Linked DNA regions of Lepisosteus oculatus. The protein of the gene in region 1 purifies or fractionates together with the protein of each later gene. This does not show direct contact. Links are inferred from orthologs where the notes say so. Each region holds a gene or a part of one and is shown in the gene's direction. Other genes may lie near its edges.

Region 1 (3,751 bases):
TTCCAGCTCACAGTGATGTCATCAATGACGTACCCTCTCCCTCAGGTTTCTCGGACCTGATGTAGTTGTAATGTCTGGGGCTTCATTTATCTTCAAGTTTGTAAGCAGTGATCATCATGTTTTGTTTAGTTTTTTTGTACAGCAAGTACAAAACGTTATTTTTACGTGAGATCTGAATTTCACCTCCATGTATGAGTGTAACTTGACTAGCGTCATTACTTGTACATTACTTTAAAAAATAAAATGCTGACTTTTTTCAGTTTTCATTTTATTTACCTGTAATTCAATGCTTTGTTTTTATACCTTACATAAAACTTAATAACTGTATAGTAAAAAATAAAATACAAATGGCATACATGTACTGTAACCTTTTAATCAAAACAACATCATAGGTGGAGACTGATATCTTACCTTTCTGATGGTATAATGTTTAAAAAATCATTACAAATTTATATTAAACTACATTCAGGGTATATGTATAAGCTACACTATGAAATGTAAATGGATATCTTGTTTAGACTTGGGTCCCATCCCCAAGCTGTCCCATTTTATAGATGCAAATATAACAATATTCCGAAATCCGAAATCCGCAACACGTTCGGTCCCAGGAATTTCGGATAAGGGATTCTCAACCTGTAATAGGTTTATTCCCTGCTGAAAAGAGAAGAAAGAAAACACAACGTTTCTTCAGGTGTGAGCTATGTGACCTGACACGAGAAGAAGGCTCCACAGCCGAAACGTTGTATTTTCTTTCTTCTCTTTTCAGCAGGGAATAAACCTATTTGTTCCTTTACACTAGAATGGTCCTGACTGCGTCAAAGTCTAACCAGTCACAGCCAAAAAAATTTTAAGTCGTTACTTAGCCTTTGATAGGGGGAAACAACAATACTGAGCATTATTCTCCCACATTTCCCAACATTACGTCTTTCATACAGCTGCTCTCCCGTCACAGACGCTCATAGGGCAACAGCGCTGAAAACAGCTACTCTGTTCATTGGCTGTTTTAGATCACGTGTTTGAAGGCGAAACTCGGGTCGCATGCCAATGACGCATTACATCGCGCTGGGGTCTATATTTGCTGTGTAATAATAGAGTTAGGCCGGTTCTGACAGACGCCGGGAAGAGAGAAATTGTTAAATACCGAGGGTTGTTTACGGACAGAAAGCGGAGCCTGAGGTATCAGCATGGAATATCTGATCGGAATCCAAGGACCCGATTTCGTCCTGGTGGCCGCTGACACCGTGGCGGCCAGCAGCATCATTCAGATGAAACACGGTGAGGGCGGCCCGTGTGCCGGCGATTTCGGGTTTCTGCGGGTCTGTCTCTCAGAGGTCTGCGACGTCCCCTCAGTTCTGCCGTCAGTTTTGGGCTAAACCAAAACTGAGGTGCTTTTAGATGAGTGGGTTCTCGTACTCAGCTTTCAAATAAGCTTTTGAAGTTGTGAGTCTCTAGATACAAAATAAATCTGTTTGTGCTTTACTGTTCGTGCTTCAGTTTCGGGTTCACTGCAACTAGTCTCTAATCTACAGTCCCGTCACGATGTGGTGTCTCTGGCTTTCCTGGAGTCCCTGAACCGCCTTCTGGACTCGGAACAGCGGCAGTAGATTCGGGGGGTCCAGGATACGTTTGTGTTAAATGGCGCGGCGGGTTCCGCACAAGGCAGAGACAAACTGAACACGTCTCCTGTTGCTGAGCAGGACAGGGCCGGCAGGGTAGCGGTGCAGCTGGGTGCCTGCCCGCGAGGCGTCACTCAGCAGCGAAGTGAAAGCGGACAGATCGCTTCCACAGCGACTCTCCCTGCTCCTGAAAGATGAAGGAGCAGCTGTAGTAAGACCACGCGTGGCTGTATGCGTGTTTCTGGCGGGCAGGCTGTACGTCTGGGTCTACCTGTAATTTATTTTTTTTCCCGCGAAACAGTTTCTGGACTTTGAGAGAGTTAGCTGGAGGTTCTGGACACGGAAGAATACGCAGAGTGGTGGGTGAATACAGGGCTCAGCGGAGAGGGGCGCTGCTGAGCACCCCGACACATGGAGACAGTCCAGCCCCGCGCAGACAGGTGGAGGGGAATATCTCCCTGAGTGGATGACACGCCTCATGGCAACATGGGGATGTATTTATACATGTAAAGGCTGCAAGACTGACGTCTGTGTGTTCTCCTCCAGACTACGACAAAATGTTCAAGCTGAGTGAGAAGATCCTGCTGCTGTGTGTGGGCGAGGCGGGCGACACGGTGCAGTTTGCTGAGTACATCCAGAAGAATGTGCAGCTGTACAAGATGAGAAATGGTGAGACACGCCCCCTGTCTGCAGGACTGCAGCCTCCTCTCTTACCCCCCCAGCCTTCAGTGTCGTCTCATAGCCACATCAATACAGAACAGTGTTCCGTGGCTGTGATAGACTGTTTCATCGCCGAGCACTTCTACAAGTGCAGCCCCTCTCCCTTTGACATATAATCTGCTTCCTGCACTGTCTAGAGGTTATGGTCCAATCTGTAAAAAGTATATCGTACAATATTTACGAACCATATTTATTGCTTGTTCAGCAGGTATTGTACCAAATGAAATTATTTGTACTTTGCATTGCACCAGAAGCAGTGAGATGTACTGTACAGCTCAGTTTCTACTTTAAATATGTAGTCTGTTTGTGTGTTTAAATACTCCACATGTTATTTCTAACATTTTGTAGTTGGCAAACTAAATGCTAAAAACTATATACACAAAGCCCAAAACCAGTTATAAAACATGCAGTTATAGATTATATTATTTGTGCAAAAGCAGGCTTCTGTAAAAGCTTTGGTGTGACCCTGTGTTTTTAAAAAACATGTTGATACTTTCTTCCTGGGACCCCAGATAATGATGATGGATTGTATTAGAATCCACTGCAGCACCTTGTCACAGTGCAGTGGTCATGTTCCATGTGCATACAAATTGAGTGCACCAGATCTTAGGGCAAGTAATTGCTTTGATCGTAACTGAGTGTTGATTCCTTCCGTCTCTCTGTCCCAGGTTATGAGCTCAGTCCGGCAGCTGCAGCAAACTTCACCCGGAAGAACCTGGCGGATTACCTGCGGAGCCGGGTCAGTTTCTGCGGGGGGCCCTGTGTCTGCTGGCCGTGATGTGTTGTGGTAGCTGGTGCATCACATTAACCAGTCAGATCCAGTTGACTTGTCGTCCATTGTTCCTCACAAGTGACACCATGCATCTGCTTCCTTCTGCAGATCCATCTAGTCAAGAGAATGAGTCTTGTACTGCAAAACACTGATATTTATGGGTTAACTGTCATCTTAAAATCACTAAAATGTTGGAGGTCAACTTAGAATTGTATTTTTAAGTAAAGTTCTTACTAAAAAAATGGAGAGAAATGTACATTGTCTAAGTCTTAGGTACACAGCTGTGTAAGAGTCAGTAGTGCTTTGCCAGCGTTGAGCTGTTCAGGGCTTTCAGCTGTAGAAAATTGCAAATATGGGATCAGTGAATACTACAGGGATCTGTATTTGGAACACTGCGATTTTTAATTTATGTAACTATGTCTAGATAATGGATTAGTTAGTAGTTTATAGGTTACCTGCAGATAACAGGATTAGCAACCACTATGTTTATACTTGGCCAACTAAATTCAGAAAGACTTCCTGAAAAATTCTGGACAGGCAGCAACACCAGACAGGTTGCATTTAATGTAAGCATGTGCAGTGTGTTGCATGCAAGTAGCAGGTAGGAGAATAAATATCAGAAGGGGAATCTCTGAGCTACACA
Region 2 (3,751 bases), on another chromosome or scaffold:
ATTTACAACATATCGCAATACATGTCATATTCTGTAAATCAGTTATATTTGTATTTGCAGATGCTAATTATAGTTTCTTTCAAATGTTTCATGACAATGCAGATTACACAGATACCTGTGATTCTAACCCTGGATGGACATAAGAGAAAGATTAAACGTTTTTCATAATTTGAATTTATTTTGTAATATGTACCCCCTGACGATGTTTTTGTCGTAAAATGTTATATGTACGCTTGTTTGTATTGTATTTGTTGTTATTGTTTATGCATAAATAAATAAAGACAAGAGAATGATAACCAACTGCTGGTAATATGGTGCTCTGCGGATCACGTGATTCTACACAAGGCCCGTACTTTACGGTCTTATAAACCCCAGCAACTTTAGCAAAGACACTTATCTGACAAGACCATGGCGATTTTCTATAAGCTGAGGGTCTGTAGAATAGATATGAGGTATTTTTGAAGAGGCACAAATTTGTGTTTGGTCGGGAGGTGGGTGAGACCGCTCCCTGTCCATCAGTGCACGGTCTCAGTCTGGGGATGGGAGGTGCTCTACAGACCCCAGCAGTTTTGACAGAGACACTTGTCTGACAAAAACAAGGTGATTTTCTATCAGCTGAGGGTCTGTGCAATAGATTGCATCCACCTTTGGAGAGGCACAAATTTTCCCCATCCAATTCTGCACTGCAGTTTTTCTAGAGGTGATCCACCCAGACCAACAATATTAATAAAAACTTAAAACGGAATGAAGAAGGGTGATTTGCTATTGACTGACTGTCTTAACATTGTATGTTTCACCACTTTTGATTGTGCACAAAATGTTTTTGTCCCTGGTTATAGTTTAAAAAAATGATTGAATTTAAATATAATAAAGGATTTTATTTAATTACAAATTTCAGATACAACTCCTTTAAAAGCTTGCATCTTAAAACCTTTTTCATTGAACAGAAACATTTTTATGAAAAAAAAATATAGCAGTATATTACAGTAGTAGAAAGGGGCTGTAAAATTAATACAAACTTCTAATAATCTTAGATTTGTCAAACTTGGAGATAAGTGGAGGCGATTTAAAATTTAAAAAAGGACTCTCTCAAATTAACCATGACGAAATAAAGCAGGTGTTTCAGCTGCTTGTCACTTCGCTTAATGTTGCTTTACTCCTCAAAAGCTGCTGTGGTAGCTGAAAGTCTTTTATTTTGATTGAAATTCGGCTATTGACATACACTTCCGGGTCATTCGTGTCGCTTAGTGTAGCCAGCTTCACGCTACTTCCACGTGGTTGGGTGATTTTCCTCGCCTCTCATTGTCGTCGCGGCTTTTCTACGTCATTTCTCGTTCTCTCCCTTTGATACCTTGTGGCTGTGAATAGGAGCTGAAAGGAGCCACACGGTTATTTCTGTTAATACGATCTCAGATTCCCTTCCCTATTTGTCTGAAAATAGAATGTCTTCTCTCCTCAAAGTGGACAATGAAATCAAAACTAAGGTAAGAGACGGTAATCCGAGAAAGACTGACGCGAGGGGGATGTGGTGTTGAAATTTGAACAGTCGGAAATTTTTCTGTAACACAAGGCCGGGGTATTAAATAAGTGCCTAGCATAATCGCCTGGCTTTCCCGCGCTGTGCTTCACAGATATAGTCATAATTGCTCTGCGTATGTCGATTTATATGGAATTATCTGAAGTTAAAACAGGATATTTCCGTATATTCCGATATTTCCAATAGTATTGCCCCTTCTTTCATTCTGGCCGGAGGTGCGTGTCTGCTGCTGTCGAAATTAAGGCGTTTGTGGTTGAGTCTTTTCCATAATGTGAAATAATAGTATGATCGTAGCGCCTGTAATGCACAATAAATTCAGTGCGATTTGGCCTGCGTTTGGAATTCGTGTTTTTTGACACGTGTCCTGTTTATTGTTTTGAGTGAATGTCCGGGTCCAATCCCAAGAGCTGTGTCAAAGAATAAAAACGATCGTAAACATTTTTGCTGTCCCTTCAACAGCTACTTCCTTGGAGCCGGATATCTTGGGTGTTTATCTTATTCGAAATCTATATCTTCAGAGTCGCACGGCGCATGTGCTCATATATTTATATAAAAACTGAGTGACAAAACAATTCGGTTCAGGAGACAGTCCCGATGAAGCTACAGACAGCGAAAACGAATGAAAAATCTTGCACCCAGTAGATATATTGGCCAGCATCATGTTCACGTGTTATTGCATTTGTGCTGTATTCTGTTTCAAGCGTAATCTTACGTTACTGTATTAAATGCACAGCCTTGGCAATGTTCTACACAGACGGGTAACGTTTCAGTCTTTGACAGTCTAGTTGTGGACCCCGATTTACGTTTACTCTTTCTACAGGTTGATGCTTTCAGAGAACGAATCACCGGTGAAGTAAGTACTTTTGCTTTCAAATTAAAACGATTCTTTTAACGTAAATAAAAAACTAAGTTGTACTGTACTTAGAGCTCGCATTTCCCAATGTTTACTTTTCTAGGCAGAAGACTTAGTCGCAAATTTCTTTCCAAAGAAGTTACTGGAACTCGATCATTTTCTTAAGGTAAGTCTTTCGATTTTTACCGTTATGTTTGCGCGGTTTTCGTTGTGTAAGAGCTCCTATCCACAGCTGAGGAGACCTGGAAGAAGACGAATTGCGTTTAAACTGCACTTTCCTTGTTAGTGGTTCCCAGAGCACTTTATTCACCTTTGAAAAGCAAATCACCAATCAGTTGTGGTGAGAATTACTCCAGACGTTTAGCCATGCTGGATCATGCAAGCCCAGAATGGGATTTAGTCAAGATGCTTGCTTAACATACCAATTCTGGAAAAACTGTTTCAAGGGATCTTTTAACAACCAAATAATCAGGACATTAGTTCAATCTCATCTGAAATCATTGTACAGCACGGTATTCCCTGTCCCCATAGTGGGGCTCTTCAATTAGTAATTCTGTCTTCAACAGAAGATTGCCCCCTGCTGGTTCACCTACACGACTTGCTGTTCATTGTGCTGAAATCAACGCTTACTACACCCTAGCCAGACCTTTGGGTCGGAGAGCTGATGGGATGGCAATAATACCGCAGAGGAGAAAAATAACCACCTTCGTGCAGATCGAAGTTCTGGAGAGGGTGTAAGCCCCCTCCGTGTAGCCAGATATCTACGTCCGAGAGAGGCTTAAAAAGGTCACCGCACTCCCAGAACCATGAATTGTACTGGGTGAAGTTAATTAACATTTCTAAGTTAGCAGCCTTACGTCTTGGGCACCACAGCAGTGCTGGAATCAATGTGTGAATCAAGCTAGAATTGAGTTCAGTAACGTGGAGCCTCACATTTTCTGGAGTTACTGAAGAGATTTAAGGTCTGGTGCTTGGTTTGAACGATCACTGCCGAGTACGTGACCAATGCTGTGTGACTGTCATATGGTGAGCGAATAGAGCTTTACCCCTTGCTCAGCCGAACGGGAGAGAGAAATGTTTCTCTGTTGCCTTGTGGTTATTTCCTCAAGAAGGGAACTAACGAAAAATGTTAAAAAGCAGATATGCTTGGGGGGAAAGGACTTGTGTTTTCTGTTTTGACGAAGGAACAGTTAAAGCCTAATGAGGTCTTAAAACAAGCTGAGGTCTCTGAGCTCAAGGACTAATCATCACTCCTTGGATGTTAAAGGAAAGGATAAAGTTACGTGTCTCCAAGGCTGGTGGTTTGACAGGACTCTTCAGATGAAGGCTGTGGTCCGGTTTCAAGGCAGAACCTTTTGCTG

What was found.
Region 2: the proteins of psmb2 (region 1) and psme3 fractionate together in Homo sapiens (co-fractionation; 3 studies listed by BioGRID and IntAct, with this or other methods). This does not show direct contact. The link is inferred for Lepisosteus oculatus from reciprocal best matches to the Homo sapiens genes PSMB2 and PSME3.

Annotation. Positions count from the first base shown.
Region 1 is NC_090706.1:198,120-201,870, forward strand, and holds the start of psmb2 (proteasome subunit beta type-2), read left to right. Parts: upstream 1-1,032; 5' UTR 1,033-1,184; coding exon 1,185-1,275; intron 1,276-2,162; coding exon 2,163-2,285; intron 2,286-3,004; coding exon 3,005-3,075; intron 3,076-3,751. UniProt on the Homo sapiens protein: Non-catalytic component of the 20S core proteasome complex involved in the proteolytic degradation of most intracellular proteins. This complex plays numerous essential roles within the cell by associating with different regulatory particles.
Region 2 is NC_090723.1:3,612,727-3,616,477, forward strand, and holds the start of psme3 (proteasome activator complex subunit 3), read left to right. Parts: upstream 1-1,400; 5' UTR 1,401-1,442; coding exon 1,443-1,484; intron 1,485-2,357; coding exon 2,358-2,390; intron 2,391-2,493; coding exon 2,494-2,556; intron 2,557-3,751. UniProt on the Homo sapiens protein: Subunit of the 11S REG-gamma (also called PA28-gamma) proteasome regulator, a doughnut-shaped homoheptamer which associates with the proteasome. 11S REG-gamma activates the trypsin-like catalytic subunit of the proteasome but inhibits the chymotrypsin-like and postglutamyl-preferring (PGPH) subunits.